Elephas maximus indicus: one gene and its partners. The protein of the gene in region 2 purifies or fractionates together with the protein of the main gene of each other region. This does not show direct contact. Links are inferred from orthologs where the notes say so. Each region holds a gene or a part of one and is shown on either strand. Other genes may lie near its edges. The genes, in order: SESN2, MIOS and DEPDC5.

What was found.
Region 1: the proteins of MIOS (region 2) and SESN2 purify together in Homo sapiens (affinity purification with western blotting; 5 studies listed by BioGRID and IntAct, with this or other methods). This does not show direct contact. The link is inferred for Elephas maximus indicus from reciprocal best matches to the Homo sapiens genes MIOS and SESN2.
Region 3: the proteins of MIOS (region 2) and DEPDC5 purify together in Homo sapiens (affinity purification with western blotting; 3 studies listed by BioGRID and IntAct, with this or other methods). This does not show direct contact. The link is inferred for Elephas maximus indicus from reciprocal best matches to the Homo sapiens genes MIOS and DEPDC5.

The regions. Positions count from the first base shown.
Region 1 is NC_064821.1:68,706,504-68,714,230, reverse strand, and holds the start of SESN2 (sestrin-2), read right to left. Parts: upstream 3,028-7,727; 5' UTR 2,666-3,027; coding exon 2,579-2,665; intron 1-2,578. UniProt on the Homo sapiens protein: Functions as an intracellular leucine sensor that negatively regulates the mTORC1 signaling pathway through the GATOR complex. In absence of leucine, binds the GATOR subcomplex GATOR2 and prevents mTORC1 signaling.
Region 2 is NC_064826.1:68,300,380-68,307,657, reverse strand, and holds the start of MIOS (GATOR complex protein MIOS), read right to left. Parts: upstream 3,096-7,278; 5' UTR 2,891-3,095; intron 1,974-2,890; 5' UTR 1,833-1,973; intron 1-1,832. UniProt on the Homo sapiens protein: As a component of the GATOR2 complex, functions as an activator of the amino acid-sensing branch of the mTORC1 signaling pathway. The GATOR2 complex indirectly activates mTORC1 through the inhibition of the GATOR1 subcomplex.
Region 3 is NC_064840.1:24,435,761-24,442,990, reverse strand, and holds the start of DEPDC5 (GATOR complex protein DEPDC5), read left to right. Parts: upstream 1-4,168; 5' UTR 4,169-4,311; intron 4,312-4,952; 5' UTR 4,953-5,009; coding exon 5,010-5,067; intron 5,068-7,230. UniProt on the Homo sapiens protein: As a component of the GATOR1 complex functions as an inhibitor of the amino acid-sensing branch of the mTORC1 pathway.

The DNA of each region.
Region 1 (7,727 bases), on a different chromosome or scaffold from region 2:
GCCTGCACAGTTCGTAAGTGCCAGCTAAGCTATTATGAGGCAAATAGTTATGAGCATTTATTAGGTGCTAAGAACAGTGGAGGGCAGGGGATGAGATCTGCAGGATGTATCCTTTGGGTGCTTCTAGTCCAGCAAGAGAAACAGAAAAGAAGTACCTAATTAAATTATACAACGGTTTCACTACAATTGGGACAAAAGCTCCTAGGCAGCGGAAGGGGGACTGAAGTCGGTATGCACAAGGGACTTATCTGATGGGGGAGGAAAGGCCTCCCCAAGGAAGTGATATTTGAAGAAGTAATTTAACAGCCCAATAAGACTCTGAAAGCATACTACCAGCACTAGAGTGAAGCTCTCAGAACTTACTGGAGATACATCTATCTCAAGGCCTTCACCCACTCAAAGGGCATGTTGTGAACTCACCAGAGTGCTGAGGGGGCTGCACATCTGGGTCTTCAGTGGGGCCTTGGGTACCATGCTCTGTAAGATCAGGAGCACCCCACTGTCTTCTGAGGGTTCCTGCTTAAGCACACAGCTCCTTCACAAGGTCCTCTTTTCTACCAGACACCACCAGCTTTCCCCACTGCTGACATCTAAATGCCACTCCCTCACAGCCTGCCCCAGCCACCTGAGCCATTCCATTCTCCTCTGACCACTTCTCAGGCACTGTCCCAGAGAGGGATGCACACTACTCTCATCTCAGACAGGAGGGTAAGCTCAGGCATCCCCCTGTGAGACACTGAGTAATGGGAAATGTATGTCATGGCCACATTCTCACAACAGTTAGCATGTCAGATGCAGTTACTATGTTCCAGGCATTGTGCTTTGGTCTTTTGCTTGTATTCTCAGTTAATTCTCCCGATTGTCATTCAGGGATACTATCAAATCCCCATGTGAAGAAGGTGTGGACCAGAGAAGGTGATCACTTGGCCAAGGTCACACAGTGAGTGAGTGGGAGGGCTGGCACATGAACCCAGCTAACTCTGGCTCCAGTGCCCAAGTGCTCTCAGTAATAACATTTCTGTTTTTTTTACAAAGAAAGAAACAGACTCAGAGAGTAAAATGACTTGGTCAAAGTCACATGGCTGAGAAGGAACAAGAGTGGGGGCCATTCCTCCCCATGTAGCTCCTAACTATGGTCCAAACAGAAAAACCAAACCTGTTGCCATTGAGATGATCTGAGACTCGCCTCTCTCTGTCCTTATAGAGACCCTATAGGACAGAATAGAACTGTCTCATACAGTTCCCAAGGCTGTAAGTCTTTACTGAAACAGACTGCCACATCTTCCTCCCTGAGTGGCTGGTGGGTTGAACCACCAACCTTTTCAACCTTTTGGTTAGCAGCAGAGCTCTTAACACTGTGTCAGCAGGGCTCCTTAAACCACGGTGGGGGAGGGGGGATTAAACTCAAACTAACAGAAATCCAGGACACAATCCCTCTACCACTGAAGCTAGGAGCCCCAGAAACCATGTTGCTCAGAGAAGGGCAGAGATTTTCCCTGTCACACAGCTCAGGACTATCACTATTCTGACTCCCATCCCCAGGAATACACCTGCTTCAAGCTGCCTGGAAAGAAAAGAAACAAGCAAAACTCTCTGAAGTGCCAAGCACACTCTGAAATCCTAGGGACACTCAGGCCAAAGAATGAGCTCCCTGGGTGAGGTTAGAGAAGGGAATCTCTCCCTAAGCCCCTCCTGGGCTTCAATTTTCTCATCTGTAAAATGGGGCTATAGTATAGCTCGCATTTTGCTGGTTTAGTCCTGAGGATTTAGAGAAAAAGCAGGCCTGGCATCTAGTAGGTCCATTATCGCTTGTCGGTGAATGTCAGTCAGATTAGGCCCAACCTTATTCCTGGCCTCACCGCAATGCCTTTCCGGGGTACAAAACAAACTTCAGGGCCATCAGACCACTCAGAAGGGCACTGCCTAATCTGCGCTAGGCTTTGGGAGCGCAGCCTGGGTTCCCCCCACCCCAAGCCCCTCTCCTGCCATCTCTGGCCGCGGCCACCACCGGCCGGGCAGCCAGCCAAGCCCCCGGAGCGCCCGCGGCCCCGCCCCCTCTCGCTAGCAGACCGCAGCCCTCTCCAAAACAGGGGGTGCAGGAGGAGCGAGGGTGCAGGGAGGGGGACCAGGTCGGCCTTCGCCGGCCAGCCCTAGGTGCCCGACTGCCGGCGCTGGGGGATCGGAGCGGGGACGTATCCTAGAAAGAGTCCCCTGCCCGCCTGCCCCCGCCAAGAGGAAGGGAATCTACGGAAGGGGGCGGGGAGGAGCGGTCGGGCCGCTCGGGACGGGATTTGCCTGGACTTGAAGACGCTCTCGACAAGAGACCAGACACTAGAGAACCTCGGGAAGGCTCCCTTCTCATTGGCCAGGGGTCCGAGGGAGCTGGGAGGGCTGCGCAGCCCCGGGGGGAGGGGGGCGAGGGCCAAGGCTGCCAGTTGATGCAACCCTGCTCCTGGGTTACGCGCTTCGCCCCGCTTCCCCGAGCTCGCGGGGCGCACGGACTTATCTCGGGACAGCCCGAGGCTTGGACGCGGTTCGGGCTTCAAGAGAAGAGTGGCGTCGCTCGGCCTCTGCTTACCTCTCCGGCTCCAGCGCCGCCGCCGCCCCGGGTGAACGGCAGGTAGCCCTTGAGCTCCGCGCGGCGCTCGGAGTCCGCAACGATCATGGTATGCGCCAAGATCGAGCCTCTGCTCGCAGACGACCGGTGCACCGGAGCGGGAGTTTGGTCGGACGCACGTAGGAAGCCGGGACCCCGGGCAGCACGGGAGGTTCTAGAACCCTGAGGTGCCTCTCGGGGCTCCAGAACGCTCCGAAAGCCCAGAATCCGAGAACGGCAGCTGCTGCACTGGATTCTCCTCCAGCCCGGTTTCTGGAACGGTAAATGGCTTCGGGCTCCGACGACTGGTCGCAGCGCGGGGGTTTTCACGGCCCGGGGCGCCTCGGAAGTCCGCAATGGCCAGGGCTGCTCGCGGACTCTGCGCTCCTCAGCATCCCCGCCGCGGAACTGCCAGCGCTCCCTCGGCTCTGACACTCAGCCCGCTGCGGTCCCCGGGGGAGGGCGGGGACACAAAAGCCCCGCGCCACAGCCAATCAGATGCTTGTTTCCCGGGTAGGCGGGGCGACACCTCCCTCTAGGGCCGACTACTCAGCCAATCGGCACCGGGAAGCGCCCGGGAACTCTGGGAGCTGTAGTCTGGCCCAAACGAATGCTGCAAACTTTTGCAACAGGGTTTTGTCAGAGCGCAGGCAATACCAGACGAGAGTGACGGCCCGGAGAGTCATTAGGACTGTATGATGAAACGGGACTTCACCAGGCTGGACCTGAGAGCCAAGTGTGAAATCCCTCCCAAGTGCATCCTTCAACTTTCTCGCTCCTGGAGAGACTGGTTAGAGTTAGGAGAGGTTTTGGCCCACTTTGTTCAATGGTGCTAATAGTAGAGTATTTCTACTACTTGAGAACACCTAACAACAACTACAATAGTAGAGCTGAACATCAGATCTTCGGAAGTCAGAGGGCAGAGCCCTATTCCCCCTAGGCTCCGGGAGGACTCAACTTTCAAATGTACCACGAATAGGGAAACCACCCTATTTGGGGAGTCTCTGGAAAAAGCCTTCATTCATTGAAATGCCATTGGCAACCTATGTCTAACCTCAATCCCTATTGCCGCAGTTTCCTCCCTCTGCTTCCCTGGGACCTCAGGTCCTGTTTTCCATTCTTGCCAGCCACCTACTTGAAACTGTGACAAGGTGTTGTGCTGGGTCTCTTCTCCCCTCTCTCTGGCCTCTCCTCTGACTCCTCTTTCTCCCCCCACCCCCTGAAAGTGGGTGTTCCCCAAGTTTCTGTTTTTATTCCTCTCTCCAGGCACACTCTCACTCCCTGATCTCATCCACTTCCTGGCTTTTGGCAAGGAAGTCACCCCACCAACACCTCAAAGCTGAATTCCTCCCCCATCCTCTTCACTCAGAGCCTTCACAGATTTTCTTGAGTTCCACTTTTTGTTTCAATTTTAAAGGCATTGTCTACCCTGGACATGGATCCTGGCAGAGCAGGGGTCTTCTCTGATATTGAGTCTAGGATTATGATTCCAAAGATGAGCCTCTGACTTGGTCTCCTGCCTCCAGCCTTTTGGGAGATGGAAATTAATTTCACCTTCTGTCGAGTTCCCAAGGCACTTGGGCTGGGTCTCTATTATAACACTTACCATACTCTACCCTGTATGGTAATTTTCTGTGTATAGGTCTCATCTGACCCTTTTGAGTTCCTTGACATCTTTGTCTCCTGCCCTATTCCTCCTAGCACAATGTCCTGCCAATAATACACCCTTGGTAACTGAATTTTCCTTTGAATGGAATTCTCCTCTAAACCACCTTATGTCAGATTGAACGTTCATTGAAAAAATTTACTCTGTAATGTCAATCTTCAGATCAAAAAGCTTTAATGGTATTTCATCAACTACAGAATAAAGGTCAAACCCCTAGACTGACATTCAAGGCCTACCAAGACCTGCCTCAACTTACCTTTCCAGTTCTACTTGCCACACCCATGTCCTTGTTTGACCTTCAAGCTTTTCTTCCAGTAGTTCTCTCTGCAAATCTCTGCCCATTGAAACCCAATCCAGAATTCAATGCCTTCAGTTCTTCGTGGTCTGAATGAAGGTTTCCAGCTACCACTTCCTCCTCCAGGTGTTGCTTTTTCGGCCCAGCTAAAAGTAATCTCTCTTACTCAACTCCTACAACACATTGTTTCTACCTTATTATACTTCTGGTTTCTAAACTGGATACAGCTTTGCTATCATGTCTGTATGTTTACCTTCTCCCTCCAGATAACAATGGAATATGTTATCAATTACTTTTACAAAGTTAGGGAGCAAGCTCAAACAGGTAAAATTGCTTGTCCAACATCACAAGAGATCTTCTTTTGACTGCACCAGGCTGTGCCAGAGCTCCTTTAAGGCAGAAATTGTCTAATTGTCTCTGTATTCCCTAACAGCATGCAGTGGATCCTCAGTAAATATTTTGAAGTAATGAGTTTTAATTACTTTCCTCTGTAGAATAACCCTTCAGAATCTTCAAGGATGTGACTAAATCATTCCCATGGTTTCACTTACAAAGTTAGTAATTTTGTGAAAAGGAAAAGCAGAGATACTGATATTCTAAAGTGGATGCTCTTTTGTGACCCAGTCTCCAAGGAAGGAAAGATTGGAAGAGGCAGGGACACTGACATTGGTCCAGGATACATCCGTTGTCTCATGTAACTCTTACCACAACTTTCTGAGGTTGGCAGTATGCTCCTATTTGACATATAAGGAAACTGAGACTCAAGAAGTGTGTTGACCAAGGTCAGATAGCTCATAATAGGCCGAGCAAGGAATCAAACCCAGGCAGGAATGACTCCAAAGCAAAAAACACCACTGTGTCACTAATGAAAGATGGAAGTGAACATGTAAGGAGCAGGCTGGTATAAGAAACTGATGCTTAAAGCAGAATTCTAATATATTAATTGAGAGCAAAAAACACTACTGTCAGGTGGCTTATACTTGGTGGGCCGGCACATCCCTTCTTGTGAGAAAGTCTCCATGAAAAGCCAAGTTATCATCTGAAGGTGACTAGGACAGCTGGAATCTGAGCAAAAGGAACCAAGGAAAAGGTGAATCATTGAACTGGCTCTACTCAGGGCAAACCTGCTGGTTAGGGCCCTGGCTGCTTCCCTCCCTCTTTCAATTCAGTAAGTTTTATTGACCATCTAATGTACACCAGGAGTCCGTGAGTGGTGCAAACAGTTAACATGCTTGGCTGCTAATTGAAAGGTTAGTGGTTTGAGTCTACCCAGAGGTGCCTTGGAAGAAAGGCCTGGCAACATCCAAAAAATCAGCACATCGAACACCCTGTGGGGCACAGTTCTACACCGACACATATGAGGTCGCCATGAGTTGGAACTGACTCAATGGCAACTGGTTAGTGTATACCAGGCACTGTGCTGGGCTCTGGAAATTCAGTAGTGAAGCATCCAGCCCCGTGAGGTGTGGCCTGGTGACACAGGCTGGACACATTCCCTCTCCTCCACACTTTTTGTTTCACTCTCCTCGAGTTTTGAGTTCTGTAAAGATCTCCTCCCTCCTGTTGCCATACTCTCTTGCACCAGCTGTGTTGAGGACACTGATTGGCCAAAGCTTTTTTATTCCTCAATCATATTCCAGTCCTGAAGTGACATCTAGATTTGGCTTGAAGTATTTCTGAGATTTCCTCAGTCTCGGACCCCTCTCAGATTATGACTCTAATGGTAGTCCTCATGTGTTCTATTTTCATTCTTCCTGGATTAATTTTCCAATCACATATTCTGGGGTCATTTTACTATAATGACCTTGTATCTTGACTATTCCTGGGGCAGTGATTTATCACCCCAGATGTCATTTTTTTTGGTTCTTCATATTGTTCTTGTTTCTCCCCATTTCCACTCTCATCTCAGAACACAATTCTGGCCCTGGGGGAGCTTTCAGGTAAGAAGCCAAATCCCGTCTGGTTTGATAAAGCCAAGGGAGACCCACCCTCCATGGTTTATTCACAGATTCATTCTTTTTAATTACTCATTAAGCAGGCATGGTGCTACGTGCTGAGGGAGGTCCTTCACTCACCTAGCTGACAGGTCCAGAACTGTCAAGCTTCAGAATCACAATTGGAATTGTCTCCTGGAGCTGCGAATTAGGGGGCAGGCTCCACAGACCCTTGGAGAAGAAGCCAGCTACCTCCTGGGTAAGTGGAACAGAAAGAGTATGGCCCAGGAATCAGGAAACTCAGGTGCTAGTTTTTAGCTGTGTGACCCAAGGTGAATTTTTTCAGCTTTTAGGATGTTTCCTTGTTTGCAAAACAAAAGGAATTGAAATTAGCTCTAACCCTCAAGAGCCACTGTGGAGAGTACTGGTGTTGGGCAATGCATATAATTCTGTTTCCTCGGCTGAATACTAAGGACAAAAACTTCAAGTTTGAAAAAACTCTCCCTTCGTAATAAATACAATATGAAAACTGACCAGCTTGTTTTGTCGGGTGAGGGAGCCCTCGGCGCCCCCTGCAGGCCGGACTCTGCTACAGCTGAGCCCGAACAGGCTTGTAAAAGGGGTGGCTTGAGGGTCACCCCAGTTTTGAGTTTACAGGATTGTGAGGTTCCATGTCACCGCCGGGAAGTCCTGGAAAACGGCTAGGTGACAGCTAAATAAAGACAGCGTGGTTGCAGAGCATTCCCCTGCTGCCCAGAGGGACCAGACTCCCAGGAGACTTTATAGCCTGGATGCACTTCCCATTTGTTTCTTTGTCTTACAGACTGGAAACCTGAGGCACAGAGAGAAAAGAATTTGCCCAGGGTCACCGAGCAAGATGGCCACAGAGCAGAGACTAGAACCCTGGGGTCCAGGCCTCTAGTCCAGGGCTACTTGCACTATAATAGGCTGTCCTAGGAGCCTCACATTTCCAGAAAGAACAACTTCTGTCTTTGCTCTAGTGTATTCCCCTCTCTTTCCCACCTCCTTTCCATTCTTAGAGGACCTATATGTCCCCAGAAAGCTGATCTGAGTCCTGTCCCTGGAACAATGCCCCTAGCCCTTGCCACCATCTTGTCCCACCTCGCTCTACCCTCCAGACTTCGTTTCGCTCCAAAAAAAAAAAAAAAAAAGCTGGGCGTGGAGTCAGGCTATCTGAGTTGAAGGTTCTAGTTCTAACCTTTTCTATATGAACTT
Region 2 (7,278 bases):
TTGAAAGGAGTTCTACTGTGGGTAAAATGCTATCAAAGAGCATCACATGCTACAGAGAAATCTTTTGTGAAAGGAAGAGTCAATCAATGCAGCAAACTTCATTGTTGTCTATTTTAAGAAACTGCTACAGGCACCCCAACCTTCAGCAACCACTACCCTGATCATTCAGCAGCCATCAACACTGAGGTAAGACCCTCTACCAGCAAAAGATTAAGACTTGCTAAAGGCTTAGATGATGGTTAGCATTTTTTAGCAAATTACGTTTTTTTAAGTAAGGTATGTAGATTGTTTTTTTAAACATAATGCCATTGCACACTTAACAGACTATAGCGTAAACCTAACTTTTATATGCACCAGGAAACCAAAAAATTCGTGATTTGCTTTATTGTGATATTCGCTTTACTGTGGTGGTCTGCAATCAAACCAGCAATATCTCCAGGGTATGCCTGTACTCAAGGTCATATGTTGCTCACTCTTGTGGGCTTGTTTTAATTTTCTTCAGCTTCAGCTTGAACCTGTTCTGCAGTGAGCACCTAGCCTTGTCTGGACTGATGATAACAAAGCTTTTCCATTGTCTCTTTACACAGATGTAGTTAATTTGATTCCTGTGTATTTCATAAGGCAAGGCCCACGTGTACAGTCGCCGTTTATGTTGCTGAAAAAAGATATTTGCAATGAAGAAGTCACTGATCTTGCAAAATTCTATCATGTACTCGTTGTTTCTATCACCAAGGCCGTATTTTCCAACTACCAATCCTTCTTCGTTTCCAACTTTCACATTCCAATCACCAGTAATTACCAATGCATCTCGATTGCATGTTTGATCAATTTCAGACTGCAGAAGTTGGTAAAAATCTTCAATTTCTTCAACTTTGGCATTAGTGGTTGGTGCGCAAATTTGAATAATAGGTGCTTCAAGGATAGATCTTGAAATGTTCTTTTTGACAATGAATGTGACACCATTCCTCTTCAAATTTTCATTCCCGGCCAGTACTACCCGAATTCAAAACGGCCAATACTAGCCCATTTCAACTCACTAATGTCTAGAATATCTATCTTCAAGCGTTTCATTTCAGTTTTGACAACTTCTAATTTTCCTAGATTCCTACTTCATACATTCCACGTTGCAATTAATGGATGTTTGCAGCTATTTCTTCTCATTTTGAGTCATGCCACATCGGCAAATAAAGGCCGCAAGAGCTTGACTCCATCATCATCATGAAGGTCGACTGTACTTTGAGGAGGTAGCTCTTCCCCAGTAGTATTTTCAGTGCCTTTCAGCCTGAGGGGTTCATCTCCTGGCACTACGCTTGACAACATTCCACTGCTACTGATAAGGTTGTCACTGGCCAATTCTTTTTGTAGATGCCTGGTCTTTCTTCCCAGTCTGTCTTAGTCTGGAAGCTCTGCTGAATCTGTCCACCATGGGTGACCTTGCTGGTATTTGAAATACTGGTAGCATAACTTCCAGCATCACAGTAACACACAAGCCACCACAGTACGACAAACTGACAGATGAGTGGTAGAGCCACTCATTAGCTAGACCCTAACAAGCACCTTATTACACCAAGACCATAAAACAAAAATAGAACCTATACTATCTCTATCTCACAAAGTTGTGAAAATTAAACAAAGTAAGTTCATCACATCACACAGATGTTAGTATCACTACCATTCCCTGAAACAGCCCTGGCATCTAATGTTTTCAAATGTTAGAGGCATTGACAAATTGGGGGTATACAGGAAATGAGGTTTGCAATAATTAAAAAACAAACAAAAAAAAAACACTCCATTGCCATCCACTGGATTAGGGCTTATATTTGTCTCCTCACCTTCAAGTTTAACAAGTGCTCATGTCCTATCAACAGTTTCTGAGCAAAGGAAAGCCATGTTGATTCTGTGTTCATCTGCAGAACATCTATAACAGCACTGTCCAACAAAAATTCAGTGTGAGCCATAGAATCTCAAATTTTCTAATAGCCATATTAAAAAAAGTAAAAACAAATAGATGAAATTAATTTTAACATTCTTGTTTGTGTACCGAGTCTTAGGAATCCTGTGTGACATCTCAATTTGGACTATACCCATTTCAAGTGCTCAGCGGCCCCATGTGCTAGAGGCTACCGCGAATTTTTACAATACTAAGTGCACGGATTATCCAATCACCCTTTCACACCCCCCCCTTTTTTTTTTCTGTCTTCTACTTTTCTTACCACAGCAAATTACAACCGTAGCAGTTTCAAGAAATTCCTACCATCACTATGTTCTAGGAGATGCACTGCATGTATCCAAATTTTCCTTAAAATGGTTATACAAAAGGCCTGCAAATAAGTCATTTGCTAAGCAATTTAGCAATGCCCATGGCTTAAATGAGCAGCTTCATTTAGCCTCTTCAAGAATTTTAAATCACCAGTATTTGAAGAGAACAGAGCTAAACAAACGTTCGGGTGAAAGATCCTTTAAGAAGTATTTAACAGGGTACAACTGGAACAGGGCTTGTTGCTATTCCGGGTAAATCAGGAATCTGAGGGCGACACCCACGCTTCGGACAACTAGCTGAGCCTCCCGTCAAAGGCCGGACGCGGTTCCGCACAAACCCGCAGCGGCGGAGTCCGCAGCGCAGCCTGGCGCTCCTGAGACCAGCCCCACGCACCCTCGAGCCGCCCGCAGCCCCGGAGCTCTAGCCGAGGCCCAGCCGACCGCCCAGCGCGGTTGCCCAGCAGAGTGGAACGCAGGCCGGGCACCTCGCGCCTCCGCTCCCAGCCTGTCCCCGCCCACACCGCTTAAGTGGGCTTTCCCAGACCCCCTGCGGCGGCCCCGACGCTGCAAGCCCTGGACGCCCGCCTGCCTTCCGGGGAGCGGAGACGCGGCCCGGACCGCACTCACTGACCTGAGGTGGCAGCGCGGCCGCTCACAGCTGCTTCCGGCCTGGTCGCCGACACTCCCGCCGTGGCAGTCCCGACGCGGGCAAGATGGCGGCTGCGGAGGCTCGACCAGTGATCTGCACCACCCCGTCAGGCACCAAGACCCCACCACGGCGCCTCCGGGACGTGCAGCCTGCGCCTTGGCCTCAGAAAGGGTGTTCCCGGCCCTTGAGCCCCGCCCCTTGAGCCCCGCCCCTCCCCCGCACCGGGGATTGCCCCGCCCTGGGGCGGGATCATTTCCTGAGAATCCACGCCCCTTGCACCCGAGCTCTCGCCCACCTGCGGGCCCCGCCTCGCGCGTGGAGCCTCGGGCGGGAAATCGTGCACTCAGATCTGGCTGGACTGCACCTCAGATCTGCTTTACCGTTTTTAAGAATAAGTTCATAGACTTTGCTTCATTTGCTTAATTTCGATTTTCATTAAAAATATTTTGCAGGCGATATAGTAGAAAAATCAAAGGTACTTCGTGCGTCATTTATTCACTTATTCATTCATTCCACAAACGCGTCTTGAGGCCCCTGTTACGTGCCATGCACCATCCTGGAATGCTGGGAATACTGGAGTGAACAAAATGGACACGGTGCCTTGTTAGAACTGGTACAGTGCTACACCGGAGGGGCGCCCTTCAGTGTTGGAGGTCAAGAAAGCTTTCTTCAGAACCGCTAGGCTGAGACATGAAGAGCAAGTATGGGGTTAGTCAAGAAAGAGAACAGGGCAGAGAAAGTTGGAGAGAACGGGGAAGCAGCAGAGTATGGCTGGAAGTTAGAGTGAGAAGTGGAAGTGGAGAGAAATTAAAATATATCAGGAAGATGTCTGGAAACTAGGTTAGTGAGGGTGGAAGGACTTTTTCCGAAAGGAAATAGTTGAGTCATTGAGGATTTTTAACCAGGTGCTGTGATATGATCGTTTTTTGTGTGGAGAGAAGGAGGGAGGGTTAGGCTAAGTATCTGAATGACAACTGATGGCCTACACCATCAGAGATATGTAGAACAGGGATGAAGTGATGTTGGTACTCTGAGGAATTTAGAAGGTGGAATGATGACTGACTTGATGATTGAGTGAGGGAGGAAGAAGGAGGAGTCCAGGATGGTGACCAGCTTTCTAGCTCTGGTAATTTGAGTGGAGAGTGCTGCCACAGTCACTGAGTGAGTGAATACAGATGAAACAAGACTGACACAGAGGCTTTCTTGAGATGTCTGGCGCTTTTTGCTTGTCTGTTCTTGCTTAAAAGGGTGATTTTAGGCTTGTTGTGATTGCTGTACACAGTATAATAGCTTAGTCCTGATAATGTTCAAGGCAAGCAGTTTTGGTGAGAAGATGAGTTTGGGGAAATTGTTACTTGTGGAAATCTGAGGCTCCTTATCACTCCTGCCACTGGAGAAATGGAGACTAAAGAAAGTGCTGAATTCCTGAGGGAAGATACCACAAGATTTATCACTTGGAACAAACACTATCTTGTGAATCTTCTCAATGGTTTTGGCCCTGCTTCAAAACCACTACACAAAACCTCGAATCAATACAAGTCTCTTTCTTATTCACTCCTACCATACGTGGCTGAGCAAAACCTTTCCCCCTCATGCTCAGGAGATGACTTTGCCTCCTTCTTCAGAAAGAAAATTTAGACTACTAGGTAGAATTCCCACAGCCTCCTACGGCTTCCTCTTTCTCTCCTGTAACATCTTCATTCACTTCCATTCTTAACTTCTAGCTGACACAGAGAAAGAGGAAGAACCCATGTTGTTTCCCTCTTTAGGAACTTGTGCTATCGATTTTCTCCTCTTCCATATGTCTTAACATCTCCATTTTTATTGGCTCTTTACTTTCAACATATAAACATGTTCGTGTCACTCCCATTTTGTCCTCAAAGGAGAGTTCCATATTGGCTCTCTCCAATCCCACTCCCGCCTGTCTCTCTTGAACTCACTCAACTCAGGCTTTCATGTCTACCACTCCACCAAAACTGCTCTTTCAATGACCTCCAGTTTCACTGGCCATGGCTTCACCTTTGCAGCTTTCACACGTGACCACTTTCTCTCTCTTGAAATACTTTCTTCATTTGATTCTATATCACCAGTCTCCCTAGTTCTCTTTCTGTCCCTATGACTCTGCTGTTAGTTGAGCATGAAAAGCATGCTCTTGCCTCAGATCCTCTGCACTGGCTGCTCCTCTGCCTGGAATGCTCTTACAACAGAAATCTGCATGAATCATATTCTCACTTCATTTGATACTCTGCTCAATTGTCCCTGACTACATATAAATTAGCTTTTCTGTTTCTCTGCCTTATTTTTCATCCTGGCACTTACCACAACTTCACATACATATTCATCTCTTTATTTGCCTCTAGCTGTTTTCCCCTTCTCGAATATCTGCTCTGTATCTCCAGTCTCCTTTCCGTTGCTTTACTTTTTTGTAGTAGAACATATCTCCATCCACAAGTTTTAGCAGAGCGCTGATGACCTAGTTAGAAACTACATTCTACGGACTCCCTTTCGCATAGCTAGGTGTGGCTATGTCAAAAAGTTGTAACCAGTAAGATTTGACTAGGGCTTCTGGCTCACGTCCCTTGAAAGTAAAGCTGCTTACTATCTTCTTCTCTTATCCCTTCTTGCTGTCTGGAAAATGGCAAGAAAGGGAGATGGCAACCATGTATTGAGGAAGGCCAAGTTGCTCCATCAGCCTAGGTCCCAGGCTAACTTGGGAGAGATGAGGCACTTCCTCCTGGAACCAACCACAAACTACCAGACCATTAATGAGAGAAAAAGTAAACTCTGTTCTTTTTTAAAATAGTTCTGTTTGTTAAGTTGCACGAGGTTTGACGTTGTTGTTGTTAGGTGCTGTCGAGTCAGTTCTGACTCATAGTGACCCTATGCACAACAGAACGAAACACTGTCCGGTCCTGAGCCAACCTTACAATCGTTGTTAAGCTTGAGCTCATTGTTGCAGCCACTGCGTCAATCCCCCTCGTTGAAGGTCTTCCTCTTTTCCACTGACCCTGTACTCTGCCAAGCATGATGTCCTTCTCCAGGGACTCATCCCTGGTGACAACATGTCCAAAGTATGTAAGATGCAGTCTCACCATCCTTGCTTCTAAGGAGCATTCTTTTTTTTTTTTTTAAATAATATTTTATTGTGTTTAGGGTGAATGTTCACACAGAAAATTAAGTTCCTGTTTAACAATTTCTACAGAAATTATTCAGTGGTATTGGTTACATTTTTCACAATGTGTCATTCCTAAGGGGCATTCTTGTTGTACTTCTTCTAAGACAGATTTGTTCATTCTTTTGGCAGTCCATGGTATATTCAATATTCCTCGCCAGCACCACAATTCAAAGGCATCAACTCTTCTTCGGTCGTCCTTATTCATTGTCCAGCTTTCACACGCATATGATACAACTGAAAATACCATGGCTTGGGTCAGGTGCACCTTAGTCCTCAAGGTGACATCTTTGCTCTTCAACACCTTAAAGACGTCCTTTGCAGCAGATTTACCCAATGCCATGCGTCTTTTGATTTCTTGACTGCTGCTTCCATGGCTGTTGATTGTGGATCCAAGTAAAATGAAATCCTTGACAACTTCAGTCTTTTCTCCATTTATCATGATGTTGCTCATTGGTCCAGTTGTAAGGATTTTTGTTTTCTTTATGTTGAGGTGTAATCCATACGGAAGGCTGTGGTCTTTGATCTTCATTAGTAAGTGCTTCAAGTCCTCTTCACTTTCAGCAAGCAAGGTTGTGTCACCTGCATAATGCAGGTTGTTAATGAGTCTTCCTCCAATCCTGATGCCCCATTCTTCTTCATCTAGTCCAGCTTCTCGGATTATTTGCTCAGCATACAGATTGAATAGGTATGGTGAAAGAATACAACCCTGACACACAACTTTCCTGACTTTAAACTAATCAGGATCCCCTTGTTCTGTCTGAATAACTGCCTCTTGACCTATGTAAAGGTTCCTCATGAGCACAATTAAGTGTTCTGGAATTCCTATTCTTTGCAATGTTATCCATAATTTGTTATGATCCACACAGTTGAATGCCTTTGAATAGTCAATAAAACAAAGGTAAACGTCTTTCTGGTATTCTCTGCTTTCAGCCAGGATCCATCTGACATCAGCAATGATGTCCTTGGTTCCACGTCCTCTTCTGAAACCAGCCTGAATTTCTGGCAGTTCCCTGTTGATATACTGCTGCAGCCATTTTTGAATGATCTTCAGCAGAATTTTGCTTGCGTGTGACATTAATGATATTGTTCTGTAATTTCCACATTCGGTTGGATCACCTTTCTTGGGAATAGGCATAAATATGGATCTCTTCCAGTCAGTTAGCCAGGAGGCTGTCTTCCATATTTCTTGGCATAG
Region 3 (7,230 bases), on a different chromosome or scaffold from region 2:
CTGGGTGGAAACCCCAGATTCTACTCAGCGCAATTGTCTCAGCCAATAAACAAGAGACTGAGGTGGGAGAGTAGAAAAACACCTTTATTTTGTCGGGCAAGGAAAAGAACAGCCTGCCAAGACTGCTCTGTGAGGGCAAGAGGGAAGGCTGTTTTTAAGAGGTTTACGAGTAGGAAGTTCATACAAGTTACATCAACATTCTTAATCATACTACGCAGGTGCAACAGGGTTTACATATAACTTCATGCATCACGTGTTCAGAAAACTCCACCCAGAGGTGGGGAAGTTACTATGCATAGGTCTAAAAGGTTATCCTGAATATCAACATGGCTCCTAAACTGGTTTCTGCCAATTTCCTCTAGTTTTGAGCAGCAGTTAAGGAAAGGGGAACCAGGGTTTTAATGTAAAGCTTAAGGCCAAGCAAGCTGATTGAGGCAGTGGAATTTTTCGCACCTGGGGGCCTCTGTCTTATTATGAATAATGTACAGTTTTTATATAAACTAGGATTTTCTAATACAGATGCTATTGGACTGAATAAACTAGATATTCATTTTAAACCCATTCCTAAGTTTTCAGTATCCATATCTTCAAGTACTTTATCAGGCAACCGCGTGCCTAAAACAGAAGGTCTGAGAAACTTTTTTGTGTGAAATATGAGATTTTATACTCAAAAGGATTGAGAAGTAGTGGCTGAGTTTGAAGAGTCCTGGGCTGGAGGTAAGAAGACCTGGATTTATTTCAAATCAATTTCATTCCATGTTTAATGAGCATCTACTATGTGCAATGCACCACAGGCCCTGGCAGACAGCTTTGGTTTCCATGGGACTTACAGTCATGGCTGTTCCTTTTTTTTCTAATTGTGGTAAGATACGTAAGAAAAAATTTTGTTTTTTAACCATTTTTAAGTATACAATTCAGTGACATTACTTTTCACCATCTTGTGTAACCCTTACTGCTGCCTACTTTCAAAAAATTTTCACCCCTTAAACAGAAACTCAGTATCCCTTAAGCAATAACTCCACATTCCTCCCTCCCCTCAGTCCCTGGTAACCACTAATAAACTTTGGTCTCTATGCATTTGCCTATTCTAGATATTTAATATAAGTGGGATCATATATTTGTCCTTTTGTGTCTGACATTTCATTCAGCACAATGTTTTCAAGGTCAGCCATGTGATACATAGTATACAACTTCATGTCTCTTTATGGCTGAGTAATATTCCAACTTATGCATATACCACACACTTTGTTTATTCATACATCTGTTGATGGACATTTCAATTGTTTCCACCTTCTGGCTATTATGAATAGTGTTGCAGTGAAGATTGACGTGTCCATTTGCAATCCTGCTTTTAATTCTTTCAGGTACATACCTAGGATTGGGATTTCTGGGCCTACAGGAATTCTGTTAACTTTTTGCGGAACTGTTCAACTGTTTTCAATAGGAGCTATAATATTTTACATTCCTACCAGCAAGGCACAAGGGTTCCTATTTCTCTGCATCTTGAGGAACATTTGTTTCCCTTTTTTGTTTCTACTATCACAGCCATCCTAGCGGGGGTAAAGTGGTATCTTATTATGGTTTGACTTGCATTTCCTTAGTGACTAATGATGTTGACCATTTTTTCATGTGCTTGTTGGCCACTTGATTATCTTCTTTGGTGAAATGTCTATTCAGTTTCTTTGCCCATGTTTTGATTGAGTTGTTTGTTTTGTTGTTGTTGAGTTGTAGCAGTTCTTTATATATTCTGGATATTAGATCCTTATCAGATATATGATTAACAAATATTTTTTCCCAATCCATAGGTTTGTCCCTTTACTTTGTTTTTAAATTTCTTTGATGCACAAAAGTTTTTAATTTTAATGAAGTCCAATTTATTTCTTCTTCTGTTGTTTGTGCTTTTGGTGTCATAGCTGAGAATCCATTGCCCAAGCAATGTCCTGAAGCATTATCCCTATGTTTTCTTCTAACAGTTATTTGGTTTTGTTTCTTATATTTAGGCCCTTGACCCATTTTGAGTTGATTTTCATGTATGCTGTGAGGCATGGGTCTAACTTCATTCTTTGATTCTGGAAATCCCATTGTCCCAACACCATTTGTTGAACAGACTATTCTTTTCCTATTGAATGGAGTTGGCACCCTTGTCAAAAGTCAGTTGGCCAAAGATGTTTGGGCTTATTTCTGGGCTCTCAATTCTACTCCTATTCTTTGTTAAAAATAATAAAAACTCACTGGAATTTGAACATAAGGTTTATTCTGGGCAGTTATTCTATACACATGTAGGGAGGCCATTTTGAGTCCCTAAAAAGCAAATGGCTGAAGAAGCCAGGTACAATGGGGCTTATAAAGAAGAGGGAGAAATATAGAAGTTTAGTCATTGGGTAATTTTAACCTGATCGATTGAGCACTGCCTTCCCCCTTTGCTGAGATCAACTGTTACCAGTTTACTTCTGGCCTGGCTGGTAGTAATTTGGCCCTCAACCCACTCACAGCCATGAGGTTTTTTAAGATTTAAATTAGGAGGCCATGATTTGACAACTATCCTTTTCTAGCAACCCACCAAACCAATCCCACTGCCGTCGAGTCGATTCCTATTCATAGCGGCCCTGTAGGACATAGTAGAACTGCCCCATAGAGTTTCCAAGGAGTGTCTAGCGGATTTGAACTGCCGACCTCTTGGTTAGCAGCCGTAGCTCTCCTTTTCTAGGAAGATAAGCAAATTTACATTGCTAGAGAGCAAATTCTGGCAGGCTTTTGCAGTTTTGGTTAGGTTTTTTATGGTTAATATTTCATTTTGTGGATAAGAAAAACCTTGAAATCAAAGAAAGATGTCTGTCAGGTGAGGGCACTCTAAAATGAGGTGTTTGGCATGTGTAGGAATGACTGATTTAGGTCTGAATCAAAGCTCCATTTTTCGAACCAAATTTTAGTTTTTTCTAAGTCCTCATTTCTGACTTCTTAAGAATATCCACTGCTATTTTGTCACTTCTGACTCATAGAGACCCCCAAAGGGTTTCCAAGGCTATCTTTACAAAAGTAGACTGCCACATCTTTCTCCTGCAGAGCCGCTGGTGGTTTTCAGCTGCTGACCAGTCGAGTCCTTTAACCACTGGACAACTAGGCCTCCTTTTCTTAAGAATATTTTATATACAGCCTGTGTCTTAGTTATCTAGTGCTGCTATAACAATACCACAAGTGGATGGTTCATGAGCTTCCCCATTGAAAAATAAACCCTCAAGTTCCTCTGTGGTATGCGATGCTTGTGTGTGGGTTTTTTTTCTTTCAATATTTCTGCTTCTACACTTTTCAAAATCAAGAGATTTCCTGAAAACCATAGGTCAATTAGGTGCTTCTGGCAACTTGTCAGGAGCCCTTGGCAAGAGTCAGGCACAGCCTACCCAGCTTTGAGTTTCTCCCTGAAGAATGATGTCCCAGCCGTCATTAGACCGAGTGTGTGATACGAAGATGCTAGTTAATACTCAGCCGGTCTTACTAGAGTCAGGATCCACTCATGCTTCCTTCCTAGGAATTCTGTCTCCACAGCCTCAGTTCCCCACCTGTGAAATAATGATAGTATCTTTTTGAACCACCTATTAGAGATATGCTGATTACATAAAAATGTATGTCAAAACTATGGTCGCTGAAACGTCATTTGGGATTTGGAAGGTTTTGTAAAGCCCCCCCCCAAGTGGAAACGTCCCAGCAGGTGCCATCACGCTACGTCACATGGGATTAGTCCTCTGCATTTTACCAAAGTCCTCTCAGGAACACTTTTTGGGCTTCGCAGTAGCCCTGACGGTGGTCAATTTCGTTTATAGACCAGGAAGCTGAAGCTCAGCGAGATCTCGGGAGGCTCGCCCGAGTCTCCCCAGCTGGGGATCATAAAGTCTGAAACGCAGCACCAGACCACGGTTCCCTTCGGAAACGTCTGGAAAGTAAAGGATTTCCTACCGGGCGGCGAGCAGCTGCTCCGCAAGCGCGAAACGAGCGGCGGCGACTCGAGCGGCACGCAACGCCCCGCCCCCCCGCGAGCCCCGGATGAGGAAGTGGCGCGGTCATCGAGACGAAGCGGAGGCCGGGCCGGAGCGGCCCGGGACTGGTGGGCGGGAAGGGGGCCGGGCCCCGGGGCGGAGCCACCGGGGCGGCGCGGGTTCTCAGGTGAGCGCTCCGCGGTCCGTGCAGGCCAGCCGGCGCCTCGGGCTCGGGGGAGGAAGCAGAGCGGGCGGTGGGGTCGTGGGGTCGTGGGCCCGGCGCCCCGAGGAGGCGCGCGGGATCCGGTGATTGTCTGGCCCGCGAGGCCCCGGAGCCACGGTGAGTGGAAGCCACCCCGGGAGCGGGCTCGGGGTCGTGCGGGAGGGGGTTGCAGCCGGGGTTCGAGTCGGCCCCTCTTGGAGCCTTGGCGACCTTTGCCGTGACATGTGGGAGTGGGGGGCAGTGGGGAGGCAGGCGTGTCCGCTAAGCCTTTATACAAATGGAGGTTCGGAGAACGAACCCCTGCCAGCCTCCTTCACAGTCGCCTTGCCCAGGACATTGACGGCGAAACGTTTAACAGTGGACGTGCCTCTTAGTCTCTGAGTGACCTTGGGCGAGTCCCTTGCCCATTCTGGCCCTCACTTTCCTCATCCACAGAACATCTGAATATTTTTAATATTCAGATGCTCTCGGTTTAGATGGAGACAAGATCCACTCACTGCAAGTCTTCTCTTTAGGTGTGTGTTAGAATGTCATCTTGGAGGTTGGGCTAGACACTGGCCCGAATTCCTCTTAGTTCCCAGATTCTGGGGTCCTGTTTGTTCTGGTATTTGTTCTCCATCCCTCCTTGTAATTGGAGGAGTGATTTTATCCAGGGGTTGGTGCTGCCTCTCAGCTGAATATTTCCACTGGACCCACATCAGAGCAGTTGCAAGGAAAAATTTGACATTCCAGCCTTTTTGTTTGTGTATCAATGGCAGGGAGGCAAGATGACTTCTCTCCCCCTGGATTGGAACAGCTGAAGGAAACAATACAAGATGAGAACAACGAAAGTCTACAAACTTGTCATCCACAAGAAGGGCTTTGGGGGCAGTGGTCAGTATTGATCTTTGTGAGTTGTGTAAATTGCCTGGGATTCTGGTGTGTCTGTTGCTTTGAAAACTACACACTGACTCGTGACAATTGGGGCTACATAGGCAACTTAACTGAGGGAAGCAGCAAGCATATTACAGTGATGGGAAGGGCAGTCAGACTAGAGAACACAGGTCCTTTCTGAAAGCATTCACATTCGGACTTTGAAGAAACCATTCATTCATTTAATTGTTTTGTTTACTACATATTCACCATATATATTTTGTAAAATTTCAGTCCAGTACTGGTGTGAAAGATAACAGAAAATAAAGTGGCATTTATTTTCACATTTAGTGAGAGAGAAGTAGTGTAGGTGTGCACAAGACAGAGTTGATCACAGTGTGAACTACTGCCTGGCTCCCAAGCATGGTGAGAAGGGGCAGGATGCAGCATGTTGTCCTGCACGAAACTGTGAGTTGGGAAAACCAGCATCTGAGGGCCAGTCCTGACTCTAACTTTTCCTGTCACCCTGGGCAAGCCAAGCCCCTCATTTGTCTTAGCTGCAAACTCAGGGGCTTTGGAGTAGTTTCTGTATTTCTCTTAGCACTGGGAGTCTATGAATCCGCACGATAGGAAGGTACATAGTACCGAACCAAAACCAAACCCATTGCTATTGGGCCGATTCCAACTCATAGTGACCCTGTTGGACATGATAAAACTTCTCCATAGGGTTTCCAAGGCTGTAATCTTTATGTAAGCAAACTGGCACATCTTTCTCCCGTGGAGTGGCTGGTGGGTTCAAACTGCCGACCGTTTGATTAGCAGCCAAGCACTTCACCACTGTACCACCAAAGCTCCTTAGGGACTTGGTAATATGGTGTAGCTTTAACTTTTCCTTGTGTCTTACAATCTTCTTTGCTTCAGAAATGGGAATTACCAACACGATATGGTAGCTTCTATATCATAGGGTGTTGTGAGGATTAAGTAAGGTGATTCACGTAAAGTGTTTTGCAGAGTGCAGGGCTCGTCCTTAATAAATGTAGCTGTTGTAATTACTGGGACAAAGATATATCAGTGTTGCTATATTTAAAACCCAATTTCTGCTAAAATGTAGTCTGTCGTCAACACTATACTTTGTATGTTGTTGATGCTGCCTAAACATCTGTGGAGTAGAATTGAAGAGATGGCAGAAATAATTCTTGGCAGAGGGACAGATACAAAGTTACAGTATATACAGTGTCACTGTACAGTTCATATTTCATGTTTACAAGACAAATGTAGCTGGGTGCTATACCCAGTCTTTTGCGGGACTGGACTATAAAGAAAATAAAAATACAACTAACTTATATGTTAGGTTTATACCTGTGCCAAACATAAAATGAATACAAGGTCCCTTGTCCCTAAGGAACTCTGAACTTGATGAAAGAGACAGACATGCAATAAGGAAATGATAAAATGAAGCAGAATGAAATATGTGCTTAGGGAGCTTAATTCAGACTATGGAGGTTAGGGGAAGGCGTCACAGAAGATTTGGGATAAAACCATCAATGGAAACAATATACCAAATAAAATTTGGAATTTACCCATTGCTTTGCTTTACAAGACTGAATTTTTGTTGGGTATTCATTTTATGAGCCCTTTTTTTTGGTGGCACAGTGGTTAAGCGCTTGGCTGCTAACCAAAAAATCAGTGGTTTGAACCTACTAGCCACTCTGCAGGAGGAGGATATGGCCATCTGCTTCCATAAAGATTACAGCCTTGGAAACCCTATGGGCTGTCCTCCTCTGTCCTGTAGTGTGGCTATGAGTTGGAATTGACTTGACAGCAACACGTTTTTATCTTTTTTATTGGTTATGTTAAGGTCCCTGAGTGGTGGGGAAACCCTGATGGTGTAGTGGTTAAGTGCCACAGCTGCTAACCAAAAGGTCAGCAGTTTGAATCCACCAGGCACTCCTTGGAAACTATGGGGCAGTTCTGCTGTGTCCTATAGGGTCACTGTGAGTTGGCATCAACTTGATGGCAATGGGTTGGGTCCTTTTTTTTTCTGAGGTGGGGAAAATGGTTTGTGCTGGACTGCTAATGTAAAGGTTGGTGGTTCAGATCCACCCAGTGGTACCACAAAAGAAAGGCCTGGTGATCTGCTTCTGTAAAGATTACAGTCAAGGAAACTCTATAGAGTAGTTCTAC